Callithrix jacchus: one gene and its partner. The protein of the gene in region 2 binds, or shares a complex with, the protein of the main gene of each other region. Links are inferred from orthologs where the notes say so. Each region holds a gene or a part of one and is shown on either strand. Other genes may lie near its edges.

Region 1 (3,652 bases), about 130 Mb from region 2:
TGTTCTTCGTGATGTTCATATGACTAGCTTCATCAAGACCACCTCCTGCAGAATTATTTACCCTTTTCTTTGCATCTTCTATATTTTTCTCCATAGCACTAAACACCATCTTTCATACAATCAGTTTTACTTATTCTTTAATTGCCTGTTTTCTCCAGTTAGACTGAGGTTCCACAAAGACATTGATGTTTGTCTGATTTGTTCACTGCTCTTTCTCCAGTCCTTAACAAGTTTGGCGTGTAGTAGATGGTTAATAAATATTTGTTGAATGAAAGAATGTATTAATTAATAGAAAACTCAGGAATCTCTGTAAGTGACCTCTGAGTTTGTAACTTTCCATCATATGTCGATCCAACTTGTTGTTGGTAGAAGACTTTTTTTTGTTTTTTGAGATGATGTTGCCCTGTTGCCCAGGCTGGAGTGCAGTGGCATGATTTTGGTTCACTGCAATGTTCACCTCCCTGGTTCTAGCAGTTCTCATGCCTCAGCCTCCTGAGTAGCTGGTAATACAGCCATGTGCCACCATGCTCAGCTCATTTTTGTATTTATAGTAGAGATGGGGTTTCACCATGTCAGCCAGGCTGGTCTTGAGCTCTTGGCCTCAGGTGATCCACTTGCCTTGGCCTCCCAAAGTGCTGGGATTACAGGCCTGAGCCACCATGCCTGGCCGGTAGAAGACTTTGACTATGTCTGGTAAGAGTTTACTTAAGTTTGAGAACTAAAGTTTCTCTTTTCTTAGAAATAGCCTCATAGTCAGGCACTTCACTTTAATACCTCCCTGAAATTAATTTTTCAGGGGACAGAGGGACTTGGACTGGCTTTGGCCCAATAATCAGAGCAGCACCGAGGAAAGGGTGGAGGTGACTGAATGCAGTGATGGCCTCTTCTGTAAGATACTCACAATTCCAAAAGTGATCGGAAATGACACTGGAGCCTACAAGTGCTTCTACCGGGAAACTGGCTTGGCCTCGGTCATTTATGTCTATGTTCAAGGTAAGTGGTGAAATAAAATTCATTTCCCACGTCTCTTTACCAGTTATAAAAGACAATAGCCTCAAAGAAGAATTGAGTACAAGAAAGAGCTTGCTCTAAAGGCTGTTTGTCAAGTGGAATACAGAAAATTCTTCTCTCTTGAGGCTTCCTCTGAGAAATAAGACTCATTGATTGATTCTAGAGCTCGGGCTGTGTTACCGCTCTTCTGCCCAATTCGTTTGGGATTGATCTTTGTTTCCAGGGTAAATTCGTGTTCACTATTGGCCACTGAGACTTATAAAAGTCTTCTTATGTTTGAGAAGACAACCTAAAATTCTTGAAATTGAGGAAGATTTGGGGGTGAATTATGAAGAGATTTCTGTGGAGAGACAAGTTATCTATAGCAGAAGAAAAGATTTTCCCAAGAATTCATAGGAAAGCATTTTTGCCAAGAGCTCTGGAGTTTTTTTGCACATAGGAACTTTTTTTTTCTTACTAATACTTCATAAAAAACAATTCCCATACTCATGTGCAAATAAAGACATTGCTTCAAAGAGTCTTTCGAGGACAATGTTTCTTTCCTTTGCTTGTTTAGTCTGAGATCTTGGATGATATACCATATTTTTCTAGGATTTGCAACTTGGGATTGATACCATGGAGGCTGATTTAACAACCATATAGTATAAAATAAATGTCACACATATTCAATATTTATCATGAGCTATGCATTCTTTGTGTTTCAAAAATCTTACACTATCTTATTTTTTTCTGTGAAAACCTGACTTAAATAATGAGATTTCTATGATATAAATTTGAGGAATGTAAGGGTTGCATCATAGTTTGCTTGGATGTACCAAACGTTTTTCTTTTCAGTGAAGATAAACAGACACTTTATGTATTCATGTATATGCCTCTTTACATCCCAGAGTATTTGAGACAGGTGAAGATGACCTAGACCTTTTTCCCAGAAGCAGCTTTTACAGGGCAAGAATTTCATCAGCTTTGGGAAACACACTGGCATATATCTGCTTACATCTCAGTAGTGTCTAATATGGTTAGTGCAATAAAAAAGTGGAGACCACGTCAAAATAACTTATGCCACTAGATTCATGATATTTGAGAATTATTTTTGCCAGAGTAAGCACTGTCCAAGATAGAATGCTGTGCCCTCCTCCTCCCCTCTGCAGGATTTGAAAGAGACAAGGCTCAGATCTTGGAGAATTTCTGACTCCTTTTGATCTGGCAGTCTTGGGAGATGCAGCTCTGTCAGACGAGGGCGAGGATTTCCTGCTTTTAGCCTGTCTGGAAATACTACAAGATGAACCTCCCCCATAATATCTCATTATTTACTTCTCCCTAAGTCAGGAAACTTGGAGACATGTGAAAATTCATTTCATGAATTTCAGTAAATATTTTATTTTGAGAGGATGGGTGGTTGTTTGGGTTTCTTTTGTTTATTTCCTTCTTTTGAGATACTGAAATAGAATTGATTTACTAAACAGGTTTAGTGTTACGTCAAAGGGTTAATTTAATTTCCAAAGGCTTGTTCTGTAAGCAAGTTATGTAACACTTCATAACATCTGGATGAAAGGTAGGCAATACTAAGAAGTAGCAATCCTTAGCACTGTTTACTGGTACGCTGCCTGTCTTTCGGTATACCATTAAATTCTGCTTCCTGTCTAAGCCTAAAGTTCTAGGAGTTGGGCTGTCCAAGATTTTGGCCATGAAGTTAAACAATGGGAAAGGAAACACTAAAGTATTCTCTATGGATAGGTGTTTAATGTCCCCTCCGATCCCCACCTTACTTCCCTAGTCTTCTGACCCCATTCTCTTCAGCAATGGATGGAGCCAGGAAGTCAGCCCTGGCCTTATAAGATAATGGCTATGGCATGTGGTGGGCTAGATTGGCTGCTTTTCTGTGCTATCCAGCTGGGAAGGAAATCAAACTTCTGCTGTTGCAGGGAATTAGCTGCCTTTGTCCCCCCGTGGTTTAATTAACTCTTTCTTCTCTTTGACTCACTGTTATGAAGCACTCTGAAAATGCTTGATCAGATGTGTTGGGCATAGCAATGTGAAATGCTATCTCTCTGAGACTTCAAGCATGACTCCACACCACATCGTCTCTATCTCTGGGAAATGGACAAGTTTTCCAGCAGTGTGTTAACATTGGATGAGTAATGTTTGAATGGCCTCAAAATCTTTTTTTTTTTCGAGATGGAGTTTTGCTCTTGTTGCTCAGGCTGAAGAGCAGTGGCACTATTTCAGCCTACTGCAGCCTTGGCCTCCCAGGTTCAACTGATCTCCTGCCTCTGCCTCCAAAATAGCTGAGATGATAAGCACGTGCCACCATGCCCGGCTAGTTTTTTTTGGTATTTTTAGTAGAGATGGGGTTTTGCCATGTTGACCAGGCTCGTCTCAAACACCTGACCTCAAGTGATCTGCCCCCTTCAGCCTCCCAAAGTGTTGGGATTACAGGTGTGAGCCCCTGCACCTGGCCAGAATCTCTTCAGTTTTCTTCTCAGTCTTTGGAATGGTAGCTTTTCAGATGTTTGTCATTGAAGATATCAATGACTCCTAAATGTTAAACGAAATGCAATCACTATTAAACATGATTTTTAGAAAGAATCATATCCCTGGTGTCCAGAATCTTAAAATGCTAATGTAAAAGATTATCTCGAAT
Region 2 (3,652 bases):
TTAACACTAAATGTGTTTGAGTCCAATGACTTCATTTTTTTTTTCTTGGTGAAGAAGAGAGCAAAAGCAAGTTTAAGAAATGAGTTTTGAGTACCTTTAACAACATATTCATATATTTCTTTAATTCTATCAAATACTTACATATTTTCATTTCCAGACAGAATTCTATCTACAGTCAATGGTACTATCCTATCCTTTGTAAGTTTTACATAAAAATTGTCTGCATTTAGAAAAGTTGTCCTAAATTATGGCTGAAGGCAGCATCACACTTTTTGGATCGCCTGTATGTCTTTTGAGAAGATCCCCCAGGGTCCACTAATTTAGAGTATATTCTGAGCTTGGATCTAGTTTTGATCCTCAAGCCTCCTGTCTTGCTTTTTTGGAAGCAAATCCAGTCTCATGAAGGTTTAGCACTGCTTAAAAAATTAATAATAATATTTTGTCTTGCAGAACTTACTGGGCTCATTCTAACAAGCAATTGTTACTGTAATTAAGAAAACTGCCATTGGTTTAGAACATATTTCTAGTAAGAGCAATTCATCCCCTTTCTGAGGATCTCTTACCTGCATGTTTGGTGTTGAAACTTCTTTCCTTTTAACAAGCATTTCTGTGGACTTTCTGTACATTCACAGGCACATTTTCCAGGATTTAGGGGTTGATTTCTGGGGCAGGTTCTTTTACATATACACTGGCATGTGTTTTCATCAAATTCTCGGTTGGCCCCACATTGGCTGGGGAAGAGTTTGTTTTTACAGACACACTGGCATGAGTTTCTGTCTAGTTCTTTGTGGGGACCGCAGCTGGCAGGCCGAAGCCCCCCTTTGCAGACACATTGGCAGGTCTCTTCATCCAGCTCCTTGTTTGGTCCACAGATGTCCTGGAATCCATCTGCTGAGTCTAGACAAACACAGTCAGAGCGTCTTTACTATACCTTACTTGGTTCTAGGTGTGGTGTAAAACAATTAAAAGCTTTTAGAAGCATCTTCCTTTGTATGTCTGCCATCAAATTGTTGTGCACAAACATGGGTATATTCCTTTATAAAGGAGTTCAAAGTAATACCAATGTCAAGTAGAAAATGTAGTATTTTTAAGTCACTTATTTGAAAGAATGAATATTGTACATTAATATTAGAATATGTTAATCACAATATAGACCCTTGGCATTTAGTCGTTAAAACATCATTCTTCTTACCATCTCCAGCATTTGGGGAAAACATAAAATCTTGCTGAGCCAGGCATCTGCAGATGTGATTATTCCACATGTAATTGGTGGGGCAAGTCTTGTTTGCTGCCTGACACCTTTGGAAGAAATAGACAGGGTTAAGCAATGGTATAACTGGTACTTAGAAGGAACCATATCTGCTCACATATGTATCACAATACATGCTTATAAAAAAGCTTTAAAAAGATAAGAATTATGAAATAAAATGTGAGTATTTTCTCCCGAACTCTCTACCCACAACTGCTATCAAATTGCCACCCCAGAAGTGATCACTGTTTGTGATATCATCATATAGGACACTATACCTTTATCTTTTTAAGGCAAACACATTGACTTGTATAATCATGTAGGGTTTTAGTTTGTAAAATAAATAAGGTCAAACCTTTTATTTTACTTTGAAATTTCTTTTTTCCATTATGCAATATATTTTTACATGTCATTGAATAGAGTTCTACTCCATTATTTTTAGTGGCTAGGTAATATTACATACAAAAGATGTACCATTATTTATTTAATCAATCTCTTAGGTAATTACCTACATCACTTCCAATTTTGGATTTTTGAGCAATGCTGGAGGAAACATCCGTGTAAATGTATCAAATGTATCTTTACTGACTTATTTCCGAAGCACAGATTCCCACGCTGTAGTCTCCAGTAATGCAAAATTTCCACTCTGGACTCCACCAGAAAGTTATCAAAGATATTTTGCTTTGATCTTGTTGTTCTAGCTCTTTACCTCCTTCCTTCTCTCCCTCCCTCCTTTCTTCCTTCTCTTCTCCTCCTTTCCATTTTATTCCCCTTCCTTCCTTCCTTCCTTCCTTCCTTCCTTCCTTCCTTCCTTCCTTCCTTCCTTCCTTCCTTCCTTCCTTCCTTCCTTGTTTTAGTAAAAATTATAAAGCTAAGGCCTCAAGCAAGTACATCAACTGCTCCTTTGATGGTCCAATGGCCCCACTGTTGCTACCTGAGACCCCTCTCTGTTGGTGCCCAAGTGAGATGAGCCCTCTCTAGGGTGAACATATGTCATAAGCTCAGTTTCCTCATTTTCTCTTCCACATCTGTAATCAGCCATTTACTCAGCAGCCTTAAGTCTCTTTGTTGGAAAATGGCATTTTGGAGGCTCTCATTTGAGATCAGAAGCATTCACTGCCATCGGATCACATTACTACTAGATCTTTTCAGGGGGCAGACCCAGAAAAATGCATGTACATCCTGTAGAATGTTTCACGAGTTAATGTTTACCCAGTAGAAGGATTTTTGGTTTTGAGTATCTTAATTTACAGAGTATATATCAACCTCTCACTGCTTCATTTTTCAACTAATGTTGGTGTGTAGACATCAAATGGAAGTATTTACTTACATCTTTCATGCTCAGTACAATATTGTAAACAATTTTCTGTGCTGGAAGAATGCTGAGTTAAATTTCAAACTAATAGAACATAGTAAAATCCTATGTAGCCATCTTAACATGTGCATTGAGTGTAAATAAACAGGCCACTTGCTAAGAAAGTCTTGCAGTCACACTCAGTGTGACAATAAATCTTTCTTTCAATAATAGCCCGATAACTCTTACAGCACCACATGAAAAAATTTTTCAACAGGAAAATAAGCAAATCTGCATTTTACAACCATGCCTTCCTTCAGCTGAAACACCATTTCTGAAGATTTAGCAGCGCTTTCCCGTCTGGCAATCTCAACAGCACCTCCTAGACACAAAGAAGGTGTCTTCGTTCCTCTTAATATAACAGTTTGTCTAAGATTGCCCCGTTGTCCTTCATCCACCCATTGCCTTCTGCAAATAGCAATGACTGATTTGACCCTTCTTTCTTTCCCCCTTCTTGACTTTCTTTAAGAATCATGTCTTCTTTAGTGTGGAAGAAACCTATTATGGGTCTTTTATTTAATTTGGACTTTCAGCTTTCTGATTGCTATGTGTTATTTGCTATAACATACCATAAAGTAACAATTTCTCATACAGCATACACAAAGTCCATGTAACTACATGCAAAAGCAACTGTATGTAGTAACAGCAATAATTGTTGGATGATTAGGAAACAATACACATTTTGGATTTTATCAAGATAGTTTGACACTTTTCTACAGGCATTATTAGGTATACATTATTTTGTGGGAAATAGCTATGTTTTGGGTTTACCTTCCATTCACTATAATTGTTCCCATTTAGAACAACAAAAATGTGCTAATAAATATCTATTTGTGAGAATAGATTACTGATCTTAAGCAAGAGATTCTTGTGTATATTTTTAGAAAAAAATTTTCATATTGTTACCTCCAAATCCAATCAACATTACTGGATTTTAATGTAGTACCTGGACTTCATACTAATAACTTCCACTAAAATCTTGGCTTCTAACAATCTTCACATAAACTGTTATTTGCTTTATCCTGCATATATTACGTACTTTTTTCTTT

What was found.
Region 1: the proteins of VEGFC (region 2) and KDR are in contact, whole or in part, in a crystal structure (PDB 2X1W), measured with the Homo sapiens proteins. The link is inferred for Callithrix jacchus from reciprocal best matches to the Homo sapiens genes VEGFC and KDR. Residues at the interface, in NP_005420.1 of Homo sapiens: Thr148, Asn149, Phe151, Lys153, Phe186, Ile188, Val190, Pro191, Leu192, Gln194, Pro196; in NP_002244.1 of Homo sapiens: Val135, Tyr137, Ile215, Val216, Val217, Val218, Asn253, Val254, Gly255, Ile256, Asp257, Phe258, Asn274, Arg275, Asp276, Phe288, Leu289, Ser310, Ser311, Gly312.

What each region holds. Positions count from the first base shown.
Region 1 is NC_133504.1:141,635,113-141,638,764, forward strand, and holds part of KDR (vascular endothelial growth factor receptor 2), read left to right. Parts: intron 1-796; coding exon 797-993; intron 994-3,652. UniProt on the Homo sapiens protein: Tyrosine-protein kinase that acts as a cell-surface receptor for VEGFA, VEGFC and VEGFD. Plays an essential role in the regulation of angiogenesis, vascular development, vascular permeability, and embryonic hematopoiesis.
Region 2 is NC_133504.1:14,624,560-14,628,211, reverse strand, and holds part of VEGFC (vascular endothelial growth factor C), read right to left. Parts: intron 1,300-3,652; coding exon 1,193-1,299; intron 898-1,192; coding exon 564-897; intron 1-563. UniProt on the Homo sapiens protein: Growth factor active in angiogenesis, and endothelial cell growth, stimulating their proliferation and migration and also has effects on the permeability of blood vessels.